Oryctolagus cuniculus: one gene and its partners. The protein of the gene in region 3 purifies or fractionates together with the protein of the main gene of each other region. This does not show direct contact. Links are inferred from orthologs where the notes say so. Each region holds a gene or a part of one and is shown on either strand. Other genes may lie near its edges.

Region 1 (2,986 bases), on a different chromosome or scaffold from region 3:
CGGGCTGGCGGGGGCCGCGGGCTCGGCCAACGGGGGCGCGCACCACTGCCGGCCGGAGGCGGGGCCGCCCGGCACGCCCAAGAGCATCCAGGAGCTGAAGAGCCGCAACGACATCCAGCGGCTGCCCGGGCAGCGGCCGGACAGACTGGGCGGCCAGAAGCGCCGGGGGGACCAGCGCGACCTCGGCCACCCCGGGCCGCCCGCCAAGGTCTCCAAAGCCAGCCACGAGCCCCTGCTCCCCAATTCGTCCCCCCTCCCCACCAACGGGATCAGCGGGAGCCCAGAGAGCTTCCCTGGGCCCCCCGACGGTGGCGGCGGTGGCGGTGGCGGCGGCGGGGGGCACGGCCCTGAGAGCGGCCGTGTGGAGCCCACCGAGAATGACACGCACAGCGGCAAGATCCCTGTCCACGCGGTGCGGCCGCACACCAGCTCCCCGGGCCTGGGCCAGCCCCCCGGGCCCTGCCTGCAGACTAAGGCAGCGGTGCTGCAGCAGCTGGACAGGGTGGACGAGACCCCCGGGCCCCCCCACCCCAGGGGGCCCGCGCGCTGCTCCTTCAGCCCCCGGAACTCACGGCACGAGGGCTCCTTTGCCCGGCAGCGGAGCCCGTATGCACCCAAGGGCTCCGTGTCCAGCCCCTCGCCGCGGCTCCAGCCGCTCGACGCCACCCAGGTGCCCTCACCTCTCCCGCTGGCCCAGCCGTCCACGCCCCCCGTGCGGCGGCTGGAGCTGCTGCCCAGTGCCGAGAGCCCGGTGCGCTGGCTGGAGCAGCCCGAGGGCCGCCATCGACTGGCGGCGCCGGGCTGCAAGGCAGGGCTGCCCCCGGCCGGCTTCTCCCCAGACTCCTCCAGGGTGGACAGCGACGCTGCCGCCGCCGGGGGCTCGGACAGCAAAAAGAAGAAAAGGTACCGGCCACGCGACTACACGGTGAACTTGGACGGGCAGGTGGCCGAGGCGGGCGTGAGGCCCGTGCGGTTAAAAGAGCGGAAGCTCACCTTTGACCCCATGACGAGACAGATCAAACCTCTGACCCAGAAAGAGCCAGTGCGGGCGGACAGCCCTGCGCGCACGGAGCAACCGCCCAGGACAGAGCCGGACGCGCCCGAGGCCAAGGCCAGCCTCCAGAGCCCCTTTGAGCAGACGAACTGGAAGGAGCTGTCGGGCAACGAGATCATCCAGTCGTACCTGAGCCGGCAGAGCAGCCTGCTGCTGTCCTCCGGCACGCAGACGCCGGGCGCCCACCACTTCATGTCCAAGTACCTGAAGCAGGAGCAGAGCCGGCTCGGGGCCCGGCGGCCGCACGTGCTGCTGCCGCACAGCCCGCCCGCCGAGCTGCCGGGGCTGAGCCGGGAGCTCACGCAGGACGATCTCGACAGAATCCAGGCCGGCCAGTGGCCGGGGGTGAACGGGTGTCGGGACACACAGGGTAACTGGTATGACTGGACGCAGTGCATATCGCTCGACCCGCACGGCGACGACGGGCGCTTGAACGTTCTGCCTTACGTCTGCCTGGACTGAGCGCCCGCGGCCGCCGGGCGCACTCCCACCTCGCGGCGGGCGGGAGCGGGGGTGGGGGGCAGGAGCCACGCGGGCTTCCGCCCCTTCCCCCCTCCCGGGACTCTCCTCCTTTTGTGAAATGCTGCTACCAGTTTACTAACAAAATTGCGAAGGGAGGGCGGCGCGCACGGACGGCAAAGCGAGTTCGGAACTTGAGCGAACGCGTCAGTCCCCACCCGGGCACCCAGGCAGGCAGGCAGGCAGGCAGGCGGGCGCAGGGCTCCGCGCTGGGGGGAGCAGCAGGAGCACGCGTCTCGGCCCCGCACTCGCTCTTCTGGGGTCTGGGAGCCGGGGGGAGGGGCCGCGGGCGGGCCACGTGGACGACCAGTCTAGCCCACACTCCACGAGCATCCACCCATTTCGATCTGGTTTCGGTTCAAAATCCCCAGTTTTTCAAAGAAATGCTGCAAAAAATTTCAGTTCTCTCGCGTTTATTTTCCATGTGACCACCAGCCAAAACCCGCCCTCCCCGTCCCTGCCCCTCCCCCACACGCCTGGGGAGTTCACCTTCCTAGAGTCCCCCCCAGAACAACACAGATGTCGCCGCGGGTGCTACTGGGGTGCGCGCCGTGCCGCCGGGCGAGGAGCCGTCTGCGCTGACACTCATAACCATTCCTTTAGATTCGTTTGCCTTATGGTTACTCGTCATAAACGCGATTTGCAAAAACAAGGAGCCTTAGTGAATGTACAGAACCCAGACTTCTGCGTCCTCACGCAGAAGGGAGCAACTTTGCTATTTGGTCCAGTAAGTGGACACCTTGTGATATAAATGTGGAAATAAAAAACCCATTTGCACAAACTCGTCTGAGAATCGTTTCCTACTTGGGCCTTCGGACAGCCACACAGCGCCTGCCTGGATTCTGGACGAGCCGGGAGGGCCCGGGCCCCACAGCCCGACGGCAGGCTGGGCTGCGGCCACCTGCCAGCTCTGGAGAGACCCCACAGGCGCCACGTCTGCAGCTCCGGGTTCCAGTGGCCTCGGCCCCTCCCCCCTGCCCGCACCACCACCACCAAATATTTGTTGTTCTAAGAGGCCCAGCCCTTTGGCCTTAGTACCCTGATCACTGAAACAGCTGTCCTGCCTCCATTATAAAGGGGTAATAAGACCACCCCGATGGGCCATCCTGTCCCTGTCTCCCCCACGTCCCGCAGCCGCCCAGAGCCAGCAGGGACTTGGACACACACTGCCCTGTCCAAAACAAGGGTGCAGTGGGGTCGAGTGGCTTTGAGGGCAGGGTGAGGCTGAGCCCTGCACCTGCCAGCCGTGGGCTCGCTCTGGCTCACTCCCTGGAGGTGCGAGAACCAAATGATCCAAGTCCTCTCAAAAACCAGCAAGCCCGTTGGTGGGTGGGCTGCGACTCCCGGCCGCGCTGCGGAGTAGGGTCACTGCTCTCACTCCGTGCACAGTGGGCTCACCCTGGCCAGCTCCGG
Region 2 (4,457 bases), on a different chromosome or scaffold from region 3:
CTCCCGCCCCGGGACTGCAGGCCCTGGAGGCAGCCGCCCGCCCAAGCCAGCACGAAGGAGCCCTGAAACAGCTTCACCGGAGGAAGGGTGAGAAGAACGGGCGAGGGGGGCCCGGGGCCACCGTACCTTTGTCGCTGGGCAGATCCCCCTGCAGGGAGCTCCCCACAGCCTGCTGAACGGCCCGCTGCGAGAAAGCGGAGAGGTCGGGGCTCAGCGGGCTCCGGGGACAGCACCCCGACGCCCCCCCGCCAGACCCCTGTTCGCTCGCCCAGGAGCCAGGGCCTCCCAGCCCACTCTCCCGCTAGGGGCCCCGAGGCAGGGCCTCCCAGCCACTCTCCCTCCACTCCAGGGGTCTGGCAGCCTCACCAGGATAAAGGCAGAAGGAGAAAGCGTGGGGTCCCTGTCTGGCGGACCCTCGCCCCGATCCTCGCCCGACTCTTCCGTCTTCCCTCGAGACTCATCCTCTTCCTCCATGGTCACCTGCTGGGGGAGGGGCTGACTTGGGGAGCAGCCCCGGGTGCAGGAGGGGGGGCCGACGGAAGACACCAGGGCCCTCATCTCCCCACCTTCCCTCCTCCGCTTACAAAAAGAGAACAGTCCTCATCTCCGTCTGCCCGCGATGGACGCCACAGAGCAGTGCCCTCTGGGCTTTGGCTGTGACCTCTGTCGAGGGGCGGCCTCCCTACTCCCCGGTCCCCACGGCTCCCCCACAACCAAGCCCAGCGTCAGGACCTCGCACTAGACAGAATCAGAGATCTGTTTCCGCGCCATGACTTCAGAGCACGGTGCACGGTCCCACCAACCCCTTCCCCACGCCGAGCTGCGTGCCAGTGCCCGGGGCAGCCAGTGTCACCCACCACAGCTTCCCGGAGCATCGCTCGTCCTCCCACACGTACGACGGGCCACGCGAGGCCGGTCTGCAAAAGCCTCGTGCCAGTTCCCAAACAAAAATGCTTAGCGTCCGATACGCATGCTGTCTCCCAGGACCCCAGGGCAGGGGCACTGCCATCAGCCTCCCGTCCCAGGGAGGCACTGCCGAAGCCCTCCCGCCGCCCGGAGACGCTCAGCTCTGGCTGCCCGGTCAGGCGGCTAGAAGAGCAGGGCTTCGGCAGCCAGGGACTACCCCACCCCGAGCTTCCCTGCGCCTGTCTGCTCTCAAACCCCTGACCCTCAACTCCGCGTCCTTACCTGAAAGTGGGCAAACAGAAGACCGGGCTCATGGCACAGCCGTCGGAACAGAACGAGGCTGCCTTACGTCCCACACCCGGCACATCCCAAGGGCTCAGTACCAGGAGCGCTAGTCGCACCGTTAGCCCTGCAGCCCAGGCTCCTCCTACGCCGTCTCCTCTCCTGCCCACCTGTGCACGCCTGCGCCCCACCTCCAGATTTTTCCACCTGTGCCGTGGCTCCCACCTCAGCCTCCCTCCCTGCTCTTGGGAACCTGCAGCCACTTCCCTAACGCCCTGAGACTCCTACACACCCCAGCCTCTCACCAGCACTCAATACTGTGGGGCGCAGGCCCCCCGCACAGCTCCCAGCCCCGGCCCTGCTGGCCAGCACTTCCCGGGAGGCACACACCACCCACGACAGCGACTGTCACCCATCAGAGGCTCAATCGAGACCTGCGGGGGACAGAGCTGGCGAGCCCAGACCCTCTGTGGACGACTGAGCTGGTGAGCCCAGACCCTCTGCAGGGGACCGAGCTGCAGGGCCAGACCCTCTGCGGGGGACACAGATGCTCCTTTGCTCACTGAGAGGCCCCTGGACTTTGCAGGTGCACCCCTGGCTCCTCAGATCTTGGGACAGAGCAAGGCTGCGGCCACTGCTGGTCCCTCCAGGTCAAGGGTTTTCAGACTAGAGTCGGACAGCTGTTCGCTGCTTCCAAAACAGCTTGTTACAAAAAGGACATAAAACATAACAGAAAACTGTCCACAGCACCCCAAGTAGCAAGTGCAAATATCAATTCCCGGGCCCCGGAGTATCTAAACACCCGTCAGTATATACTTTGTCTCAATGGAAAACCTACTTCTCCCTGCAGCCCAAGGCTGAAAGACTTCGCAAAGCGATGCGCCAGGAGCGTGTAGACGGCCCCCCAGCCCCTCCCAGGCCACTGTGGACTACCGCTCTCTCCCTACCGCCCCAGGGAAATGCAAAATCTGTAAGCATTTTTCGTTTCGTGGGAATACTTTCCGAAGGGCAAGTGTGTCTGCAGCGGGCCGAATTTCCAGCACGCTCGTTGGAATTTTTCTCCACACGTTCATCTGTCCCCAAAACGCATTCGAGTCTTTCCCAGGCACAGCCTGCACGCTTGCAGTCACATCAAAGCCACCGAGCGCATTCCAGGTCCTTCCAGCCACCCCCGACCTCCCGTCACCCGGATCAGACACTCCACGCCTCCAGGACATCTCAGGACTGGCCTCGCTTCCCGGCTCGGCGCATCCCAGCCCGCTGTGTGCCCCTCGAACGCTTCCTAGCCCTTCCGTAATTCTCCCAGGCCCGATAAATGCCCCCCCTACCCGACCCGTGTACCCACCAGCCGCATCCTCAGGCCAGCCGGTGTAGACACTTGCCAGCCCCGAGAGACATACCCTGGGCGCTCTAGACGGCTCTGCAGACCTGCTCCATCCCCGGGACACGGCTCAAGCTCCCAAGATGGCCCCAAAACCCTCTGAACAGACCCCAGCCTCCGGCCGGCCCCTAAGAAGCATCCACAGCCCCCGCAGCCGCGACCCAGGCCGGCTGCACGAGGCAGGGCAGCCCCCGGGCTCAGGCCAGGTGCCGGGACCGACCCCAGCGCTCCCGGGCGCTCCGTCGACGCCCCCCGGCGCCCACGGACGCGTCCCGGGGCCCTCCGCAGGCCCCTCCGTTCGGCGCCAGGCTGCGCCGCTACTGCCGGGCCCGAGGCCGCCCCGCTAAGCCCTCCGGGCCCCGTGGCGTGCGAGGAGGACCCCGGGACAACCAGCGACCCGACTCCGCCCCGCCCACCCCAATAGGCCCGAGCCCCGCGGCCCGGACCGCCGCCGCCATCTTACCCCGCCGCTCGGGCTGCGGCTCCGGCCCCGGCGCGGGGCGGGGCGGGCTGGGGCGGGGCTCGCGTGCCGAGGAGGAGGGAGGCGGAGTTAAAGAGCCGCCGAGCTTGCCGGGATTGCAAGTACCGAGCACGGCGCCGTGAAGGCTGGCGGGAAGGCGCTCGGACTCGGTTTCCCAGAAGTCCAGGGGACAGGTGGGGCGGGGCACGCGCGCCGCACGCCGGGAGGCGTAGTCCGCGCACCGCCTCCGTCGCGCGGGGCCAGCAAGGAGGTGAGAGGTGAAGTGGGCGGGGCTGCAGGAGCCCGCGGGGAGGCCCCACAGTGCCCTGCGTGCGCGCGGAAAGGGCGGCGGAACAGGAAGTGACGTAAAGGGACGCGCATGGGAACGGATACGGGGAATTGTAGTTCTGCGGCGGGAGGACTGGGTGGGTACCGTCCCGCCCACATCCTGGGGACTCTCGGGCTCAGATTCCCTCTATATTTAGGACCCTACAGCCTCTCCCTTCAGGACGCGGAAGTCCCAGGAGTCCGTGCGTTACAGCCTCCTCCCTCGGACTGAGGGGTCTGCGTGTTCTCCCTCAGGCTTCGGGAGCCTCCTCCCTCCATTCCTGGTCTGTGCCCTGGGATCCAGAATTCTGAGTCGCCAAGCTCTCCAACCCCAGACCCAGGATCCAGTCCTCCAGCTCCGTCACTACCGGCACCTCCTGCGCAGTGCCCCGGGGGCCCGAGTCTGCAGCCCCCATTCCTTCCTGGGGCCCGAGGTCCCTCCTGACCCGGGCGTCCCGACTTGGGAGAGCTGGTTCATGGATTAGGAATGCAGTGATCTCACGGCCCCGCCCGTTCAACCCGCCGTCCCCTTCCAGGGCCCCAGCTCTCCTTCCAGCCGGCCTTCCGCTGGGCCGGGTCCCTTAGCAGGCGGAGCCCGCACGCCCGGGCCGAGAGCTGGGCTGGGCTCCCAGGGCGGGGGTGGAGCCACTTCCTCCGGACCCGCTTTTTCCTCGGAGAGCCCTATATACGGACGCGCCCGAGTCGGCGAGCGCCGCCCACCAGAATAAGGCCCGGAGCGGCTCGCTCCCCGGGCTCCCTCATTTGCATAGCTCCTCCCCGAACGAACTTCCCGCCCCGGCAGTCTAAAGAATGTGCTGATTTGCATGTCCCCGCCCACACGCGGCCGGCCTGCTGAGAGCGCGTGGCGCAGCTCCTTCATAAGCATATCCCCGCCCCTTTCGGAATTCCCCTGCCTTATTAGCATAGCTCCTCCTTCCCCGGGGCCCTGCCTCCTCCTTAAGTGTCCTGAGCCGCGAACCCTTCGGGGGCAGAGCTCATGACTATGCAGTCCCCTCATTAGCGTATCCCGCCCCCCCCCCGGGTCCCGCCCGGCTCCCCCCTGCGGGCGGTAGCGGCGGCGGCGGCAGCGGTGGCGACATG
Region 3 (4,545 bases):
ACAATGTCGTTCTTGTCCACTCGGGTCCCCACAATCTTCAGGCGGATCTCATCATCCTGCTGAATCACAATGTCCTGGGCAGAGGAGGGAACAGGGTCCTCAAGACACGTCCAGGCCAACTCTCCCTCCCAGTGCCCTGATCTCTCCTCCCTCTGCCTGACGTCTTCCTCCCCACTCACCTCATCCATTGTCTTGTAGCATGGTGGGTTGGAATTGGGATCAAACTCCATCTCTGATGGGATAGACTGAAAGGAAAAGTCAAAGTAGGTCAACACTGTCATTTCCTTATCTATACACTTCTTTGGGAGGCAGAGAATACCCATCCGCTGATTTACTCTCCAAATGCCCACAGTGGCCCAAGCCTGGGGCCAGAGCCAGGAGCTGGGAACTCCGTCCAGGTCTCCCACCAGGGCAGCAGGGACCCAGTCACTTGAGCCATCACCAACCGCCTTCGTAGGGTGCACATTAGCAGAGGCTGGAGTCAGCAGCCAGAGATGAGTATAGAACCCAGGAGGGTCAGCACTTTCAACAGATGCTTCAGTAGATGACCACAAACGGGCGCATCTTTCTAGCCCCTACCCGGTGTCCCAGCCTACCCGGTGTCCCAGACTTACGTGTCGAGAGATGAAGCAAGACATTGGCCCAATTTCTGTGAAGAGTCCAACCTACAAGGAAAACGAATGATTTCGCTTTTTCTTCCCCTCCAAGTCTTTTGTTCCCATTTTTACTTGATTCCTACAATTTTACTCATGTTCTATGACCGGTATGAATTGTGGCATTTGTTTGCACTTCTCTTTTTTATTAACATTTCATTATGTATTTAGCTATTTTATGTACCTGAAACGCAGAGTGACAGAAAAAACAGAGAATCAGATCTTTTGTCCAATGGTTCAGTCCCTAAATGGCCCCAGTGGCTGGGACTGTACCCAAGACCCCAGAATACCAGCCAGGTCTCCCACGTGGGTGGCAAGGCCCCAGCACGTGGGTCATCTTCCACTGCTTTCTCAGGCACATTAGCAGGAAGTAGCACAGGAAACAGCACCTGGATGCCAACCGGCACACTGATACTCAACAATACTGGAATGTAAGTAAGCCTAACCCACTGCACCACAATGCCAGCACCAATCTTTCATTTTAAGTTAAGTAAAAACAGTGCAGTAGTAAAGAGCCTACACCTAGGACTTGAGAGAGAGAGAGAGAGAGAATCTTTCATCTGCTGGGTCACTCTCCAAATGGCTGCAATGATTAGGGCTGGGTCAGGCAAAAGCCAGGAGCCAAGAACTTCCTCTGAGTTTCCTACATGGGTGCAGGGGCCCAAGGACTTGGACCATCCTCCACCACTTTCCCAGGAGCATTAGTAGGGAGCTAGATGGAAAGCGGAACAGCCGGGACTTGAACCTGCACCCATATGGAATGTCGGTGCCGTATGTCATGGATTTAACCCGCTGGGCTACAGCGCTGGCCCCAGGACTCTACCCTTACGACTATTAATACTGAATCACGTGCCTCCTGAGTGAGGCAGGACCAAGATTCCTAGAACCATTTGCCAAGTGAGGAAACTGAAGTACAAAAAAGTGACTTAGCCAAAGGCACAGAGTTAGCAAGAGGAGCAGGGACCCAAACCAGCTCCTCCCAGGGACCACCCCGTTGCCTCCTCTATGTGAGGACTCACCTTGTTGACCTGAGTGACAACTGCATCCACGACCTCACCTTTAAAGGGCCGGAAAACAATGGCCTTGTACTTAACAGGATAAAGCACAAAGCCTCGGCCTGGCTGAATCACTCCTGCGCCGATGTTGTCTATGGTGGTGACAGCAATGACGAAGCCATACCTGTGAGGAGGATGAGAAAGAGAAAGGTTCTATATGCGGAAGGGCCTCTAACGCCATCTGCAGCAAGAGTCATCGAGCCTGGGAAGGGGTTAAGAGGGGAAGCAGACAGCATCTCTGCCCCCAGAGCGCTTCAGAACCAAGAGAAAGGGCAGGGATCAGCATCTGTAAAGGCCACGCGCTGCTCTCCTGTTTCACAACAAACATCCGAAGTGGCTGCAGTCTCTGACCTCAATCTTCGAGCTGCCTCAGAATCACCTGGGAGGAGCGTGTGAGCAGGCAGAGTCCCAGGCCTGCCCCAGAGATGTGAGGAGTCTTAGGAACGAACGTGCATCCAGGGTAATCTGGCTTTGCTGTAGGCTCAAGTACCGCCCGGCCCCGAGCTGAGTTCCAGTCCACTCCTACCGCTCTGGGAAGAACCCAAGGACAGTCAAGCCCCAGCCTCCTTCCTTCCTCACCCCGTCGACCCGCATTCTCTGGTCATTCACTCAGGAAACACACTGTGCCATGCCAACTCCCTGGGCTCAGCAGAAACCGAGGGACAAGGGTTAAACTGTGAGCCCCACGCGTGCTGGCCTCATTCCATCTTGTTCTCTGCATGTTCCCAGGGCCCAACACGGGGCCCGGCTCACAGCAGGAGCTCGAAAAACGCGCAGTAAAAGAATGAGAAATCTAGGCTGAAGGAAGTTACGGAGCGCTCCCCAGCGTGGGTGGCAAGGTGCTGCAGCCCACGCTGGGAGGGGGGCGGCTGCAGGTACAGGGTCCCGTGTGCGCGCCGCCGAGACCACACGCACGGCCACAGTACTCACTTGCCAGTGCAAGTCCCCTCCACCTCGGTGAAGAGCTTCTGCTTCACGGTGTTGAGCAAGTTAGGGCCAAAGTAGCGCGGGTGCAGCAGGATCTCGTGCTCCAGGGAGATCTGCGGAGACAGCGGAACGCAGACGGAGGATACGGGGCAAGCAGCAGCCCTCCGCACCGGCGCCCCGTTCCTCCTCTCGACCCAGCCCTCGCCATCACCCCGCGCCCTGCTCACGTGGTAGAACATCTTCCCCGACGAGACTCTAAAACAAGCCGCCACCAGCGCTACAAACACCGACCCACTGGCTTCACCGGAAGCGCACGCCGCGCAGCCGCCCCTCGCTTCCGGGTCCGCCGGAAGTGGGCGGGACTCCTTCCAGTCGATGGATACGATTGGGCCTCCCTGTGGAGGATTGATGAAGCTCCGCCCCTCGGTTCCTCCGACTGGCGCTCAAACCTTGCCCGCTCCGCCAAGTAACTTAAAGTATTTGTGAACTGAATATTTTAAACTGAATTAATTCCTGGTGAAAGATGACATAATTATTTTAACAGCGGAGTCATTCAGCAAGTATTTTACAGACTGCTTTCCCATAGTCAATGTGGTGTTAAGTATCTAGGTGGATAGTAGCCTTTTTTTTTTTTTCAAGGTTTTATCTATTTGGGAGGCAGAGTTAGAGAGAAGTAGAGAGAGAGAGGTCTTCCATCCCCTGGTTCACTCCCCAAATGGCCGCGAAGGCCGGAGCTGGCCCAATCTGAAGCCAGGAGCCTACTCAGGGTCTCCCACGTGGGTGCAGGGCCCGAGGACTCAGGCCATCTTCCACTGCTTTCCCAGGCCATAGCAGGGAGCTGGATCAGAGGTGGAGCAGCTGGGACTCGAACTGGCGCCCATATGGGATGCCGGCAATGGAAGCCGCGGCTTTACCCGCTATGCCACAACGCCAGCCCCTGCTCCACTTCTGATCCAAATCCCTTCCAAAAGCCTGCGAGAAGCAGTGGAAAACGACCCAAGTGCTTGGGGCCCTGCACCCACAGAGGAGACCTGGAAGAAGCCCCTGGTTCCCAGCTTTGGCCTGGCCCAGGCCTCATCGTTGTACCCTTTGGGGAGTGAACCAGTGGATAGAAGACTTGTTCCTTTCTCTCTCACTGTAACTCTGACTTACAAATAATTAAATAAATATTTTTTAAAAAAATTGTTGGCGGCTGGCGTTGTGGTGCAGTGGGATAAAGTCATGACCTGCAGCACTGGCATCCAATATGGATGCCGATTCAAGTCCTGGCAGCTCCACTTTTTTTTTTAAGATTTTATTTATTTATTTATTTATTTATTTTGAGAGGTAGAGTTACAGAAAGTGAGAAGGAGAGACAGCAAGAAAGGCCTTCCATCTGCTGGTTCAGTCCCAAAATGGCGGCAACGGCTGGAGTGCTGGCCCCAGCTCTACTTCTGATCCAGCTCCCTGCTAATGTACCTGAGAAGGCAGCAAGTCCTTGGGCCCCTGAAACAGGGGCCTGTGGGAGACCCAGAGGAAGCTCCTGGCTCCCTACTTTGGCCTGAGCTAGCCTGGTCATTGTGGCCATTTGGGGAGTGAACCAGCAGATGGAACATCTCTCTCTCTCTCTCTCTCTCTCTCACTCTTTCTGTAACTCTGCCTTTCAAATGAATAAATAAATCTTTAAAGAAAATTTTTGATAAAAACATACTAAAGATGTTTTCAGTCACTGCCATAATTTTGTAAGTGGAGATGGCTGGTATAGAGGTCCTTGTCCTCCCATAAAAAAAAATTCAAGCAAGAGACAGAGATTAGTGATAAGCAAGACAACAAGGTTTGATGAGTAGTGTATCCATTAGAACAGATGGGCGGCTGGCGCCGCGGCTCACTAGGCTAATCCTCCACCTAGCGGCGCCGACACACTGGGTTCT
Region 4 (3,780 bases), on a different chromosome or scaffold from region 3:
CATGCAAAGATGCTCAACCTCATGAGTCACTAAGGAACTATAAATGAAAACCACGACATACTGCTTCACGCCCACTGCAATGGCCATCATCGAAAACAAGGACAGCAGCAAGCACTGGTAACGCTGTGGAGAACTCTGTTGTTGGTAGCAATGAAAATGGGGTAATCATTAAGGGCTGAAGGGAAGGGAAATCAATGATGACGACTAACGAATATGGAATTTCTTTTGGAGTTCATGAAAATATTCTGAAATTAGATAGTGGTGATCAATACACAACCCTGTGAATATACTAGTCCTTCAGTGTCCTCGGGAGACTGAGTCCAGAGACTACCCTCTAGGACATCAAAATCTGGCAATACTCAAGTTCCTTCTATATAAAGTGGCACTTATCTGCAAATAACCTATACGCATTCTGTTGTACACTTTAAGTCATCTCTAGATTAGTTACAACTCCTATTAGAAGGTAAATGCTATATAAATAATTGTTGTATTGTTTAGGGAATAAAAAAAGGTCTATAAATATTCAGTACAGAGCAATTTTCTTTTTTTTTTTTTTTGACAGGCAGAGTGGACAGTGAGAGAGAGACACAGAGAAAGGTCTTCCTTGGCCGTTGGTTCACCCTCCAATGGCCGCCGCGGCCGGCGCACCGCGCTGATCCAAAGGCAGGAGCCAGGTGCTTCTCCTGGTCTCCCATGGGGTGCTGGGCCCAAGCACCTGGGCCATCCTCCACTGCACTCCCTGGCCACAGCAGAGAGCTGGCCTGGAAGAAGGGCAACCGGGACAGAATCCGGCGCCCTGACCAGGACTAGAACCCAGTGTGCCGGCGCCGCAAGGCGGATTAGCCTGTTGAGCCGCGGCGCCGGCAAAGCTATTATCTTTTAAAAAACACCTGTAGTGGCCAGCGCCGCAGCTCAAAAGGCTAATCCTCCGACTGCGGCGCCAGCACACCGGGTTCTAGTCCCAGTCGGGGCACCAGATTCTGTCCCGATTGCTCCTCTTCCAGGCCAGCTCTCTGCTGTGGCCTGGGAGTGCAGTGGAGGATGGCCCAAGTCCTTGGGCCCTGTACCCGCATGGGAGACCAGGAGAAGCACCTGGTGCCTGGCTTCAGATCAGCGTGGTGCGCCGGCCGCAGCGGCCATTGGAGGGTGAACCAATGGAGAAAGAAGACCTTTCTCTCTGTCTCTTTCACTGTCCACTCTGCCTATCAAAAAATAAAAAAATAATAAAAAAAAAACACCCTGTAGTATAATCTTTTATAAAATACATGTGGAATGCTAGTCACTGAATAATAATAGTTGTCCCTAGTGGGAGTCAGTGACAGTTTCATCTCTTAATTATGCCTGGTTTGAATTCTTTAATCAGCATATACCTCTTATTATAAAACAGTAAAATTATTTTTTTTAAAAAAGAAAACCTATTAACAACAGTTAACTATGCATAATATATGAAGAATAAATATTCTGTTGTATTTCAGTACTTTCTAAATTAGAAAATTATTTCTCTGAATCATGTATTTAAACAAGGGCTAGAAAAGTCTACAAATGCTTAAATGTCAACAAATATGGCTTCCTAGGAGAAGGCAGGCAGACAAAGTCTCAAAGCACGTCCCAAAAAAACTTAGGGGTTGATAACAGCAAATTCACTTCTACAATGTACAGCACCCAAATGATATTCTTGGCCATCTCACTTCTACGCGGTGGAATGAGAAGGCCATGCCAAGATGGCTGCTGGTAACAGAAACTGCCTGGCAACAGGCTGTGATTGGATGGTTTCGGAAACCATATGGCAACAGAGCCTGACTGGCAACAGGCTGTGATTGGATGGCTTTGGAAACTGCCTGGCAACAGGCTGTGATTGGTTAGGGCATAGACCACCCCTTGACCGGATTGACTGCCTTGGCTACATAAGCTGCTGTACCAACTGAAATAAAAGAATCTACAGGCTGCTTGCCTCAGGACTGCTTTCACCCAACTCCCGGGGTCTATGTGGGGACTCCACGCCTCTTGCCCCCACCACACTCCTCCTCTCAGAACGAATCCACAGCAACACTTCTAGTGGTTTCATCTCAATCTGCAAGCTTTCAGAGCTTGCTGTTATCCCAAATCCTCCAAAAAGCCTAGAAATGTACAACTACAGAGTAATAGAGAGGGGTGGACCTGAAGGCACTTACTTAGACATGTTCTGGGCCTTCTCGATAAATTTCATCACCTAAAAGAAAAAGATGCCAATTAAAACCGGATCTGATTTCAATACAAAATCACGGGGCCCTCTCTAGGGTAGCATGCCTCACAGAAACCATCACCTGCTCAATCTATGTCCTCAATCTTAAGAACTTAAGCAGCAGGGCCGGTACCATGGCACAGTAGGTTAATCTTCTGCCTGCGGCACCGGCATCCCATATGGGCACTGGTTCTAGTCACGACTGCTCCTCTTCCAATCCAGCTCTTTGCTCTGGTCTGGGAAAGCAGTAGAAGATGGCCCAAGTGCTTGGGCCCCTGTACCCACGTGGGAGACTAGGAAGAAGCACCTGGCTCCTGGCTTCAGATCAGCACAGCTCCAGCTATTGCATCCATTTGGGGAGTGAATCAACCAATGGAAGGAAGACCTTTCTCTCTGTCTCTCCCTCTCACTGTCTGTAACTCTACCTCTCAAATAAATAGATAAAATCTTAAACAAACAAACAAAAAAAAACAACTTAAGCAGCACAGCCACATCAGCAGCACCACAGCTTCCTGGGGCAGCACACATACCTGAAAAGCTTGGGATTTTTTCTATCACTATCAAGTCACACATTCTGATGCTTTGGTCAAATATTAATAGACTGTCTCATGGACTGATACCACAGTCAAAAACTAATTATTATCCAACAAACTTATGGATGTAGATCACAGAGAAAACCTAAAGGAGGCAAGCATTTATCACAAGTAAAAAGCCCCATTATTTTCCATTCCAGGCCTTCTAGGCCATCCCACTCACCTGTCCCCCATCCCATCTTCAGGATAACACAGCATTAACACAAGCCAGTTACAGGTCAATGCCTATTTCCTATATTTATGTTCAGCTTGCTTCCTTCTTTACCAATATTTAAGTTAAGGCATGTAACAACCACAGGTTTTTACACAGCCCTGTATACATACGTAAAGATAAACATACCTGATCAAATCTGGTAGCAAAGAGATTAAGTGAGGTCACTATACCGCCGTTGGGCCCAAGTCCGTATCTAGACATTAAGCTGAGGACTTAAACAGCTTACAGGTTATATTACAAAACTCATATCTAGAGGATCACTCACACAAACAGCACCAAGTTGTCAGTATTCCACTAATGGATTTTGGCAACCTAATCCTTGACAGGGAAACATTCGCTATGAAGGTCTTCATTCATTTCCCATTTTAGGGATGACTAGGCAGAGAGAGAAGCAAAGTAACCCAAATACAACAGAGATGCATCAGGCAGTGGCAGGCTGCCGGCATCAGCCATCAAGATAATCTACATAACCCTTCTGGCTCTGATCCTCACTAATCAAGCAAGCTGCTGACCATGTAAGTTCTCCTACCTTGACTCATATACAGGGAGAGCACACATTTCACACAGCAATGTACTAACAATTAATCCAGCTACACACACTCATGTCTGAGCTTCCTGATCTGAAGAGGTGCTATTCAATGGATGCAGCCTCGAAGGCAATGCTACCTTGAGCACCCAGGCAGCTGCCATCTCACCTTTCATTCTGCCTAGTCTCTACAGCCACCTGCAGTCTGTGGAGATGGTAAGAAAGC
Region 5 (3,780 bases), on a different chromosome or scaffold from region 3:
AAAATAACTAAAAAACAGCTTTTGCTATTAGAGAATTCACCTAGGTGACATGGTTAAGATCAATAAACAGAAATTAACAGCCCTTGCATATACAGTCAATTAGTTAGAAGACAATGAATGAAAATATTCCAATTATAAAAGCAACAGCAACAACAAAAACATACAGGAATAAACTTAAGAGTTTGTGAAGAAAACTTTGAAACATACTTGATGGACGGATAAAAGACCTAAGGAAATGGAAAGCCACACCATGTTTCTGGAGAAGAGGACATCAATAAGAAGTAAATTTTCCCTATGTCAACTTGCAAATAAATCTAAGCAAAATCCCAGTAAACCTATTTAACAACAAAATGGCTTTCTTTTTAAAAATGGGACAAAGTTAGCCTAACCTGTAAACAAAAAAGTCTAGTGAAGAAAATGCTGAAAAGATTTTGTCAAGGAGGGAAGGTTGATGTTACTGGTGAAACACCGTGGAGAAATGACATTTTACTAACTGGACAAGGATGGAAAAGAAAGTCCATCAGTATTCTCAAAGGTACAGTAACAGTATAAAATATGTGTAGTCTTTTATAAGTTTTTATTTCTTTTTGCCAGAGAAGTATAAATAGTGATTATCTGTTTTTGACAGAGAAAGAGGATTGTAGTGGGAACTGAGAGTTTGGGGGTCAAAAGTGAGGAAAATTAACTGTATTCTTTTTAAACTTCTGTTTTTGTGTCATGTATTTCCTATGGAAAAACTGAGCATTAAAGAAGTCACAGTGTTAATTAGTTGGAATTTTACATCTGGGGCTGACGCTGTGGCGTAGCAGGTAAGGCTGCCGCCTGCAGTGCCAGCATCCCATATGGGCACTGGTTTGAGTCTCGGCTGCTCCACTTCCCATCTAGCTCTCTGCTATGACCTAGGAAAGCAGTGGAACATGGCCCAAGTCCTTGGGCTCCTGTACCTGGCGTGGGAGACCCAGAGGAGGCTTTGGATAGGCACAGCTCCGGCCTTTGTGGCCAACTGGGGAGTGAATCAGTGGATGGAAGACCTCTTTCTCTCCCTCTCCTTCTCTCTGTAACTCTTTCAAATAAATAAATAAAAATCTTTTAAAAAATAAAATATCCGTAGTAGTATATTTCTTCTCCAGGCTATAAGACTAAAGCAAATGAAGATATAGCCAACTTATATAGCCAAGTTATTTCTGAATATAATACTGTAAACATTTATATCAATTCATACCATGTTTCTTAAAATTTGATACACAATTCATCAGAGCATAAACAAATCTGCTTTTCCCCATGATACCTTCTTTCTTATTTTGTTTTACTTGACAGGTAGAGTTATAGACCGTGAGGGAGAGACAGAAAGAAAGGTCTTCCCTCCGTTGGTTCACTCCTCAAATGGCCGCTATGGCTGGCACTGCGCCAATCTGAAGCCAGGAGCCAGGTGCTTCCTCCTGGTCTCCCATGCGGGTGCAGGGCCCAAGCACTTGTGCCATCCTCCACTGCCCTCCCGGGCCACAGCAGAGAGCTGGACTGGAAGAGGAGCAACCAGGACTAGAACCTGGCACCCATATGGAATGCCGGCACCCAGGTGGAGGATTAACCAAGTGAGCCATGGTGCCGGCCCCTCCCATGATACCTCCTTAAACATAGACTATGTAGTAGAATGGAGTAAGTCCTAAAATACACACTTCCTTGATTAGTGCTTTGGAATATTGCCACAGTGACTTCTGATTCAGGTAACACAGCAAGAAAAGAGCCAAGCTGCCAGGAAAACAATGATGGTGCCTTACGTAAGAATACCAGCTCCCATTTACTGTGCACATATTACACATAAAATGCTGTGATACGCTCCCAAGGCCCCTCAACATCTCTATAAAGTTCTGCTATTCTCACTTTACAGATGAGCACTGTGAAGCTTAGGCAAGGCAAGTTCACTATCAGAAGCTCTACTGAGCTCCCATTTATCTTAGGTGGTGGGGATGGGAAACAGAGGGCATTTCGATACTCAAGACATATCAGTATAACTCATAAAGACCACATTTTTGTTAAACATGTGCCTGATGTAAAAAAAAAAAAACTAAAAGGGGGCTAAGATATAAAGACTGCATTTAGATCTGCTGGTCTACTCTCCTCAAGACAGAAGAAAATCCACACAAATCAGCCCTCATTCACAACAATATTACTGACAAATGTTATTCACAGGTCAGGATTTCCCACTGGGGTAGTCACAGATAATTTTGCAAAGATTTCAAACTCCTAAGTCTTTAGTCACCCTACACCTGGTATTTCCTACTGAAAGACTTATTACCTTGCCAATCATGGTAGACAAATCTCCATCACTCAGAAGAGGATTCTGAGAATCTCCAACTCGAGATGGATCTTTTGTTGCTTTGTCATTGCTGAAAGTTCTCCATTCAGATCCCACATCAATAACCCGGTCACCTAAGAATATAAGCACACATCTGTTTGGTAAAGATGACATGATTTAACAACAGTGCCAAGCCCACGTCAGCCCATTTATTCCCAAGAAATCTAAAAAAGGACATATAGGCCTCCCCTTAAATATGGCATCTCAAACAACAGTCCTGAGGTATCCTTTTAACTGTTGTGCCAGTTCATGAATAACCCTTTTTAAACATTTCTCTATACTCCAACTCTTGGAAGAAACAATCGGTCAAAAACAGCAAAATAATTCTATCTGTATATGATACAAAGATAAAACAATATATAATGATTCAGAACAAAAATTTTGCATAAAATTTGCCACAGCCATGGGACAAAACCAGACAACTGTTCAGAATGGTTTTAATGCACAACTTAATATAAAGAACTTCTGAGTTTTTTATGGGAAGTGCTTTGTAGAAAATAAGCCTGAACTTAAGTTTCAAAGTCACCATTTGACAAAAAATATTTTTGTACTAATTATATATATGCATATATAATAAATTTTAAACCTAGAATTAGTAAGAAGAAACACAGGTAGGCAAACTTTTCTTTTTAAGCAAAGCAGCAACAGCTAAATATGCCATGTCAAAAAAGTCAGACAGGGGCCTGTGCCGTGGCACAGTAGGTTAATTCTCCACTTGCATCCCATATGGGCGCCAGTTCTAGTCTCGGCTGCCCCGCCTCCAATCTAGCTCTCTGCTATGGCCTGGGAAAGCAGCAGAAGATGGCTCAAGTGCTTGGGCCCCTGCACCCACATGGGAGATCAGGAAGAAGCACCTGGCTCCTGTCTTGGGATCGGCGCAGCTCCAGCCGTTGAGGCCATTTGGGGAGTAAACCAACGGAAGGAAGACCATTCTCTCTTTCTTTCCTTTTCACTGTCTTTAACTCCACCTCTCAAATAAATAAACAAAAATCTCAAAAAAAAAAAAAAGTCAGATAATATGGGACAAGGATGTGTAGCAGGTAAAGCCACTACTTATGATGCCCACATCCCATACTGAAGTAACAGTTCCAAGTCCTGGCTGCTCCATGTCTGATTCAGCTCTCTGCTAATGTACCCAGGAAGACACAGGTGATGGCCTGAGTACCTGAGCCTCTGCCACCCAGGTAGAAGACCTGGATAAGTTCCTGGCTCCTAACTTAGGCCTGGCCTATTCTTGGCTGTTGTGCCCATCTTGGGGGTAGACCAGCAGATAGAGATTCTCTCTCTGCCACTCAAGCCTTTCATATAAAAATTAAAGCAAGAGCGAGAGAGAGGAAGAGAGAAAGAGAGAGACATAAGCAAATCTGCTTGGTTACTAGTTTATGGTAATGTTCAGTATTTGCCAATATTTTCTTTCAGAGTAG
Region 6 (3,780 bases), on a different chromosome or scaffold from region 3:
GAGATTTTTGGCAGCAGTCGTCAGCTTCTAGCTGCCTTACTCAGCTTGCTGTTCCCCCATGGCATGTAGCAGCACCAGCTAGTTGCTAGGTGTCCTGACTGCCCACTCCTCCTATGTAACATGTTCAATAAATCCAACCCTGCTTACTCAAAAACAAACAAACAAAAAGAAAGCCAAAAACTCAGAAGGGTTTTTTAGTATGCTTTTGAGTTGATGTAAAGGCTACATTAGATAAATGTTAAGATATGGTGTAGAGACAAAACAGGCACCCAAATGAAAGCTAGTTGTCATTTACTCATTATTTCAAAACTATGTATCAAATGTTTATTATGTACTAAGATTACCGTAGGCACTGGGGATAGCAATGAACAAATAAAGATGATTTCTGGAGGCTGGTGAGTGGCATATCGGCTAAGCCGCCACATGCAGCGCTTGCATTCCCACATGGGCAACAGTTCAATTCCTGGCTACTCTACTTCCCATACAGCTCCCTGCTAATGCACTTGGGAAGCTTGGGCCCCTGTACCCACGTGGGAGATCCAGAAACACCTGGCTCCTGGCTTTGGGCTGGCCCAGCCCTGGCTGTTGCAGCCATTTGGGGAGTGAACCAGGGGATGGAAATCTCTCTCTGTAACTCTGCCTTTCAAATAAATAAACCTTAAAAAAAAAAAAAAGATAATTTCTGCCTTCATGAGGGTTATACTCTAATAGCTATTTTTTTAAAACTTTACTTAAGGTAGATTAAATTCTTTATTCTTTTTTTTTTAAAGATTTATTTATTTATTTGAAAGATGGAGTTACAGAAAGGCAGAGGCAGAGAGAATCACTCCCTCAACTGGCCACAACAGCCAGAGCTGGGTTGATCCGAAACCAGGAGCCAGGAGCTTCTTCTGGGTCTCCCTTGGGTCATTTTCTACTGCTTTCCCAGACCACAGCAGTGAGTTGGTTAAGAAATGGAGCTGCTGGGACTCAAACCGGTGCCCATAAGGTATGTTGGCACTGCAGGTGGTGGATTTACCTGCTATGCCACAGTGCCGATCTCTAGTATGATTATTTATTATTTACAATGTAAGGAAAAGAGGGCAACTAACAAGATTTTATGAGGCATTAGCGTGACCTCATTAAAAAGCATGCCCCAAACGACAAACCACACATGTGCAACACAAGTGTCTATATATAAGCTCATATACCAAGAAAGACTAGAAAGGAGGGGAAGGATAAGAATTTACTTACTGCTTTCTACAATCTAATGTTCTCTTTATAGACTACCTGAAAATGACATTTCTGGAAAGAAAAATCTGAATTATTCTATTTAAAGGATGTAAGTGGGTTGGGCATTTGGTACAGTGGTCAAGCTGCCACGTGAGACACCTGCAGCTCACATTGGAGGGCCTGGGTTCAAATCCTGGCTTTGCTCTCCATTCCAGCATCCTGCTGGTGCACACCCTGGGAGGCAGTATTTGGGTTGCTACTACTCACTTGGAGACTCGGAATAATTCCTAGCTGCTGGCCTTGGTCTGTCCTAACCCTGGCTGTTGTGACAGATCCCTTTCTGCTTTTCAAATAAACATATAAAAACTAAAAAGATGTAATTATTACCTTTTAAGCATTTGAGAGTTTCTGTGCTGCACACATCCACCCTCATAGTTGATAGCTGCTTTTCCTTCAGTTCTATCTGATCTTCTGAGCGCTTGTATAGTAACAGCTCTTCAATGAGGGCCTGAGACTGAACACAGACCAGAAACACATTTCATTTACAAGCTCATTCAATTATTCTATCTCCTATTAGAACAACAACAACAAAAACCTAAGCTAAAACCTAACAAAATCTTGAGGGGAAACAAAAAACCCTTACTTTTCCTCAATCAATTCTGATGTCAAAACCATAAATTCATTTATATACTGTAAAAGATCCTGCCCCTTATTTAAGGCTAATTTACAGATACAGGATTAAAACTGAAACAAAGGTCCAGTTATATTCTCTTTAAATTTTAATTAGGTAAACATGGTCTTCTGTTACTCTTAAGAAATTTCTAATTTATCAGAGCTTTACAGAAAGATGAATCTGTTTGTTGGCATGAATTCATTACAGAATTTAGCTGGTAATAGATATTCTGGGAGAAGGTTATTTTTGGGGGAACAGATAAAACTTCAAGTAATCTAATCCCAATTTGGAATTCTTTAAAACATAAGTGACAAAAAGAAGTCTTACTGGACCATGTGGGAAACTATAACACAAAACTGAATATATTCTGTAACTTACTCGAAATTCAGCAACTATCTTAGACTTGAGAGCAGCTTTTGGATTTGTGGATGCTGTTGGAATTAAACAAAAGGCTGTTAAGAATATAAACACAAAGAGTTGACTAAAATTAAAGAAAAATTTCAGCTTTTTAGTTATGGGTATACTCTGAATATATGGCAAACATGCGCATTTAAATCATAATATAAATCCTGTATTAAATAATGGACTATGAAATCTAAACACTCTCAAGCATGTTTAATGTCAAAATACACTACTTAATTAGGCCTAACCTACTTACCTCCAACAGACCCTTGAAGCATAAAGTACCTTCTTTTCCTAGTCTGACTGAGTAAAAGGAGATTGCAACACCTCAAATTAAGAGTGTTCAGGAAGAGGACATCCACTTAATCCTGAGCACTGGCAGAAGAAAATTACTTACAAATATCAACTCTATTTCCTACGTATTGAGCTGTGGATTCCTTTTGCTGCTGACTCAATTCATGGCAAACATAAGAAAGTTCTAAGCACATCACCACTGTGGTTGAACTTTGGCTCAAAGGACGACTCTTGGTGATCTTATGCATGCAATTTACGACCAAAAGGATGTCACAGGACTCCCTTAATCATGATGAATATCATACGCTTGCTGGAGCAAAACCATCCTAAGAATCTTGTTTCACCTCCCAATTCTCACTGTCTTTTACCTTGGTCTCTCCACACCTTCAAGTCTCTCTCAATATTCCTCAGTTTGCCCACAGCAGCCTATCACATGCAGTATTCCACTCCCTTGATCTCATGCTGGGTAAACTGGTAAAACATTATAGGAGCTCCAGTTAGAGAACGAGCTTCTGGCCAGGATTTGAGGCCCACGTATAATTTGGCAGAGCGTATCCCCAATCTGAAGGATTTCATGGCTCCCACAGAAATGCTTCTTAATGCCTATTCTCTTCTTCAGCTCTGTTGTTTAATTTCAGCTGCCTCTAACTTCATGTATCTTTGAATCTGAGAATTAGCCTGGGCACTATCAAGTTTTTTTTTTTTTCTTCTTTCAATCCCCCAACTACTCTTGAATCTTCACTCAATCAAACCCTTTTTCTGCATTTCCTTTGTTTAAAGTGGTTTTTAAAGAAGTAACTTCATGATGGCTGGCTTAGTGTAAATCACTGGGAGCCTCCCGGGCCTGAAAAACACAGGCTTGCCCACGGTTTATGCCAGGTGCGATGTCAAATGGTCTACATTTTCTTCTGCTCCAAAAAGAGGAGGTAATTTTATATTAGTTGAGATTTTGTTCCTTACTTTGTGATTTCTTCCACTGCTTATTCGGTTGTTTGTTCAGATTTTCTTTCAGCTGCTTCTGAGTTTTGAAAGTTGTACCTGGAAAACATTTCAGTTTTTGCAATCTGGCATTATGGGAAGCTGTTCTGTCTGTCCACTTCAGTGCCAAAGTTGTAGCATCAAAAAAGGCAATCCAAGACTGTGTGTTGTTTCTTTCTTTCCTTTTCTTTCAATACACCCATCAAATCTAAGAAGCCGTC
Region 7 (4,382 bases), on a different chromosome or scaffold from region 3:
TCCAGTCCAGCTCCTTCTAATGGCTTAGGAAATGAAGCGAAAAGATGGTCCAAGTCCTTGGGTCCCTGCCACCAACGTGGGAGAACAGGATGAAGCTCCTAGATCCTGCCAGGCCCAGGCCCGTTGTTTTGGCCATCTGGGGACTGAACCTGCACATGGAAGATCTCTCTGTCTCTTCTTCTCACTGTAACTCCTTTTTTAAAAAAATTTTTTAAGATTTATTCATTAATTAAAGTCAAACTTAGAGAGGAGAGACAGAGCGAGAGATCTTGCACCCGCTGGTTCAGTCCCCAAACAGCCATAACAGCTAGGGCTGGGGCAGGTGAAAGCCAGGAGCTTCTTCTGGGTCTCCCACACGGGTAGCAGAGTCCAAACACTTGAGCCATCTTCTGCTGCCTTTCCCAGGCCATTAGCAGGGAGCTGGATTCGAAGTGGAGCAGCCAGGACTCGACCCGGTGCCTATATGGGAAGGCAGCACCGCAGGTAACATCGGACCCTGTAACTCTTTCCAAATAAATACATCTTTAAAAGAAAAAAAAAGTCCACGTTGTCAGCAGCGACTCCATCTCAGCACAGCATCGGCAAGCCCATCAACCTTCAACCTGAACGCCCCCGCAATGGTGGTGGTGTCAAGTTTAGCTTGCTTTGGTTTTAAATGGTTGAGCTCGAGTGGCAAGCCTGGGGGTTTACATCTAGCACTGAGTCGTGAGTCAGCCAACAACAGACTACACACACGACGAATGGTGGCATGAGATTAAAACGGGGCTGAAAACAACCTTGTTCGTGGTGACTCCGACGGAAAGAAACCGACTGCACTGCCAGTTCTCATACAGGGAACTTCAGAAAGTTACTGCGGGGCCGGCGCTATGGCGTAGTGGGTAAAGCCACCGCCTGCAGTACCGACATTTCATATGGGTGCTGGTTCTAGTCCCGGCTGCTCCACTTCCGATCCAGCTCTCTGCCATGGCCTGGGAAAGCAGTAGAAGATGGCCCAGGTCCTTGGCCCCCTGCCTGCTTGGGAGACCCAGAAGAAGCTCCTGGCTTCTGGCTTCAGATCGGCACAGCTCCGGCTGTTGCAGCCATTTGGGGAGTGAACCATTGGGTGGAAGCTCTCTCTCTCTCTCTCTCTGCCTCTCTGTAATTCTGCCTTTCAAATGAATTAAAAAAAAAAAAGTTACTGGAAAAATGGAACTAAAATTTTGGTTCAGGGGCCAGCATTGTGGCACAAGCCGTTGATGCTGGCATCCCACATGAGGACCTACTCAAGTCCCCGCTGCTCCATTTCCAATTCAGTTCCCTGATAATGCGCCTGGGAAAGCAGCCGGGATGGCCCAAGTGCTTGGGGCCCCTGTCGCCCACGTGGGAGACCCGGATGGGGTTCCAGGCTCCTGGCTTCAGCCTGGCCCAGGCCGGCCGTTGTGGCCATTTGGGCAGTGAACCAACAGATGGAAGATCTCTCTCTCTCTCTGCCTCCCTATCACTTTGCCTTTCAAATAAGTAAAACCAATCCCTGAAAAATAAAATGAAACCCATACACATCTTTCCATAATACGCACTTTTCCGTGAACTTTCAAAACAATCCTCGTATTGGCTGTCCTATACCTCTCACTGCTGTTTCAGAACGTACTCCTCCTACTTCCACGAAAGGCCAAACACCACGCATGTCCCGTTGGGACGTGTCTGCCTGCAGCAAGCGGCCGATGCCTCGGCTGCACCTCCTCACTCTCCCAGGCACCACTCCGTGACGTCAGCGCCAGCGGCGTACTCACTCAGGCAAGCGTGGAACGGGGGGGACTTTGGTTTCTTGTCTGTTTTTGTTTTTTCCTTTCCAGAGCCTGTCTGTCCGAAAGCTTGGGCTCCCCTGAGGGCTGGCCAACAGCACGGCCATATCCTTTCAAGGTAGGCTGGGATCAAGTTAGTCCAGGCCCGGTGGAGGCGATTTCTGTGTCTCTGCAGGCCATCTCAGCCCTGCAGGCTCAATCTGTATGAATTATGGGTAACATAATTATGGGTAACAGAGAGAGATCTTCTATCTACTGGTTCACTCCCTAAATAGCCCGAACAAAGCCAGGAGCCAGGAGCTTCTTCCAGGTCTCCCGCGTGGGTGCAGGGGCCCAAGGACTTGGGCCATCATCCACTGCTTTCCCAGGCCACAGCAGAGAGCTGGACCAGAAGTGGAGCAGCCGGGACTCGAACTGGAGACATTCGGGATGCTGGCGCTACAGGCGACGGCTTTACCTGCTACGCCACAAGGCCGGCCCGCAGTCGGCCCCTTTTACCGTGCGCACCCCGTAACGCCTAGCAGAACGCTATGCAGTCCCGACGATGTTTCTCTGCGGGATGTGCTGAAGACGAGGAGAAAACCAGAGCGCGTCTTAACCCTACGGAGCCTCAGGGACGCTGCCCAGGCTCCCGAGGCCCCCGGCCACCTGTGCCGGCCAGCTCGGAGCAAGTGTCCCCCGCATAGAGCACGGCGCCCCCCGGCGCCCCCATGCGCCCGGACAGGCGCCGCGAGCTCTCGGGAGAGGCCCCTGCCCACCCCCTGGCCTCGGCCTGCCCGCCCGAGAAATGGGGACGCACCCTTGCAGCCTCCTAGCGCCAGCGCCAGCGGCGGCGGCGGGGCCCCCTCTTCCGGGGCCCTTCCTTACCATTTGATGATGTTGTGAACCAACGGCAGGAAGGAGTAGTTCTCCTCCTCCTTCATGCTGGCGGGGCTCTGGGGCCGGGGCGCCGGCGACTGCTGCGGCTGGGGCGCGGCCACCGGTGGCGGCAGCTGCGGCGGCGGCAACGGCTTGGTCTCGGTCAGCGGCGGGTCGGCCGGTGGCGGTAACGCATCCTCGGCCTGTCGCCCAGCGGCCACCCCGGCCGAGGCCATGGCCCCGGGGCTCGGTCCAGCGAGCCAACTCCCCCACTTCACCGGCTCGGCTCGCCGGGAGCGTCGCGGACTCTACACGTCACTGCTGAGCGCCTCGCAGGGGCGGGGCCGGACGCACGGATCTGAGCATGCGCACTGAGCAGGGGGCGGGGTAAAAGCGCAGGCGTGAGGGGAGGAGGCTGTTGCTAGGCGACATGCGGTGGGCGGGCTGGTGTAGGCTGGATTTGGTTGCGAGTCTAGTTAAGTAAATTAGTCAGAAACAGGCGATTTAGCTCAAGTGACCTCAACGGCCAGGGCTGGGCCAGGGCCAACCCAGGAGCCAGGAGCTTCGTTCAGGGTTTTCACGCGGGTGCAGGGGCCCAAGTACTTGGGCCATCTGCTGCTGCTTTTCCCAGGCCTTTAGCAGAGAGCTGGGTGGGAAGTGGAGCAGCCGAGTCTCAGACTGGCGCCCATATGGGATGCCGGCGCTGCAGGCCGCGACTTAACCCACAGCACCATGGCTTCGACCCGCTATTTTATTTTTTTAAAACAACTGTTCAACATTTTTAAATTTATTTTTATTTGAAAGGCAAAGTGATAGACACGCGGAAATCTTTTCTCGGATACTTCTCTCTCCCAATGCCTCCAACAACTGTGGCTGGGCCAGGCTGAAGCCAGGAGCTAGGTACTCCATCCAGGACTCCCACGTGGGTGGCAGGGGCCCAAGCACCTGGGCCATCATCTGCTGCCTCCCAGGCTCATTAGCAGGGAGCTGGGCAGAGCAGCCGGGACCTGAAACAATTCTCTAGTGTGGGGGGCAGGTGTCCCGCAGAGAGCTGGATGGGACGCAGAGCAGCCGGGACCTGAAACAACTCTCTAGTGTGGGTGGCAGGTGTCCCAAGCTCTGGCCTAACCCACAGCGCTAGGACGCCAACTCCAAAGCATCCCCATTTTAAAGACAAAGTAACTGAGACTTAACAATGGGTGTGGGTCTAGGGTCACCCAGTTTGCCTAACGCCAAACCTATGGTCTCAGCCAGGTTCCTCAGGCTTCTGCTAGTTTTGTAACTTTATGATTCAAAATGTTAACGTGGCTTTCTATTCAGAATTTGAGAAGCAATCTAATAGTCATCAATAATATCCCCATGGCAACGTGCGTCATTTTTTTTCCCCTCCCAGCGTGTTTGATCACAAGCCCCGAATTTGTCATTGGCATCATAATGAGAACGTCCTTTAAAAAGAAAAAAAAAATCAGGTATAAATAGATATGGCTAAAAAACAAACAAAAAAACCCACAAATTGAAAATGTTAGATGCATGAGCAAATACTGGGTATTGACAATTTGCCCTATAAATAGTTCATATAATTAGTGACAAAGAGTAAAGTTTTGTAATGCTGCAAGCATATGTCAGAAAAATCCTGCCTGGGCTGCTTTCAGGAAGCCCAACATTGCCACAAAAATACGCATCTGTTTAATACTCATCCTGGTAAACGTCAGCAAAGGCAGCTGCTTCATGAATATGTAAGGC

The links.
Region 1: the proteins of POLR2G (region 3) and MED26 purify together in Homo sapiens (affinity purification with mass spectrometry; 6 studies listed by BioGRID and IntAct, counting the BioPlex papers as one, with this or other methods). This does not show direct contact. The link is inferred for Oryctolagus cuniculus from reciprocal best matches to the Homo sapiens genes POLR2G and MED26.
Region 2: the proteins of POLR2G (region 3) and SCAF1 purify together in Homo sapiens (affinity purification with mass spectrometry; 3 studies listed by BioGRID and IntAct, counting the BioPlex papers as one, with this or other methods). This does not show direct contact. The link is inferred for Oryctolagus cuniculus from reciprocal best matches to the Homo sapiens genes POLR2G and SCAF1.
Region 4: the proteins of POLR2G (region 3) and GPN1 purify together in Homo sapiens (affinity purification with mass spectrometry; 4 studies listed by BioGRID and IntAct, counting the BioPlex papers as one, with this or other methods). This does not show direct contact. The link is inferred for Oryctolagus cuniculus from reciprocal best matches to the Homo sapiens genes POLR2G and GPN1.
Region 5: the proteins of POLR2G (region 3) and GTF2B purify together in Homo sapiens (affinity purification with mass spectrometry; 3 studies listed by BioGRID and IntAct, with this or other methods). This does not show direct contact. The link is inferred for Oryctolagus cuniculus from reciprocal best matches to the Homo sapiens genes POLR2G and GTF2B.
Region 6: the proteins of POLR2G (region 3) and RPRD2 purify together in Homo sapiens (affinity purification with mass spectrometry; 3 studies listed by BioGRID and IntAct, counting the BioPlex papers as one, with this or other methods). This does not show direct contact. The link is inferred for Oryctolagus cuniculus from reciprocal best matches to the Homo sapiens genes POLR2G and RPRD2.
Region 7: the proteins of POLR2G (region 3) and MED9 purify together in Homo sapiens (affinity purification with mass spectrometry; 3 studies listed by BioGRID and IntAct, with this or other methods). This does not show direct contact. The link is inferred for Oryctolagus cuniculus from reciprocal best matches to the Homo sapiens genes POLR2G and MED9.

The regions. Positions count from the first base shown.
Region 1 is NC_091447.1:64,933,190-64,936,175, reverse strand, and holds the end of MED26 (mediator of RNA polymerase II transcription subunit 26), read left to right. Parts: coding exon 1-1,516; 3' UTR 1,517-2,354; downstream 2,355-2,986. UniProt on the Homo sapiens protein: Component of the Mediator complex, a coactivator involved in the regulated transcription of nearly all RNA polymerase II-dependent genes.
Region 2 is NC_091449.1:7,852,978-7,857,434, forward strand, and holds the start of SCAF1 (splicing factor, arginine/serine-rich 19), read right to left. Parts: upstream 3,014-4,457; 5' UTR 2,543-3,013; coding exon 2,534-2,542; intron 484-2,533; coding exon 367-483; intron 185-366; coding exon 127-184; intron 1-126. Other genes in the region: RRAS (ras-related protein R-Ras), read left to right, coding at 4,455-4,457.
Region 3 is NC_091432.1:8,823,481-8,828,025, forward strand, and holds the start of POLR2G (DNA-directed RNA polymerase II subunit RPB7), read right to left. Parts: upstream 3,015-4,545; 5' UTR 2,875-3,014; coding exon 2,863-2,874; intron 2,749-2,862; coding exon 2,639-2,748; intron 1,833-2,638; coding exon 1,673-1,832; intron 666-1,672; coding exon 615-665; intron 246-614; coding exon 180-245; intron 75-179; coding exon 3-74; intron 1-2. UniProt on the Homo sapiens protein: Core component of RNA polymerase II (Pol II), a DNA-dependent RNA polymerase which synthesizes mRNA precursors and many functional non-coding RNAs using the four ribonucleoside triphosphates as substrates.
Region 4 is NC_091433.1:175,373,725-175,377,504, forward strand, and holds part of GPN1 (GPN-loop GTPase 1), read right to left. Parts: intron 3,222-3,780; coding exon 3,155-3,221; intron 3,074-3,154; exon of another isoform or gene 2,978-3,073; intron 2,210-2,977; coding exon 2,172-2,209; intron 1-2,171. UniProt on the Homo sapiens protein: Small GTPase required for proper nuclear import of RNA polymerase II (RNAPII). May act at an RNAP assembly step prior to nuclear import.
Region 5 is NC_091438.1:82,117,843-82,121,622, reverse strand, and holds part of GTF2B (transcription initiation factor IIB), read right to left. Parts: intron 2,431-3,780; coding exon 2,297-2,430; intron 1-2,296. UniProt on the Homo sapiens protein: General transcription factor that plays a role in transcription initiation by RNA polymerase II (Pol II). Involved in the pre-initiation complex (PIC) formation and Pol II recruitment at promoter DNA.
Region 6 is NC_091438.1:47,536,839-47,540,618, forward strand, and holds part of RPRD2 (regulation of nuclear pre-mRNA domain-containing protein 2), read right to left. Parts: intron 3,620-3,780; coding exon 3,542-3,619; intron 2,317-3,541; coding exon 2,264-2,316; intron 1,727-2,263; coding exon 1,600-1,726; intron 1-1,599.
Region 7 is NC_091448.1:66,357,051-66,361,432, reverse strand, and holds the start of MED9 (mediator of RNA polymerase II transcription subunit 9), read right to left. Parts: upstream 2,967-4,382; 5' UTR 2,876-2,966; coding exon 2,649-2,875; intron 1-2,648.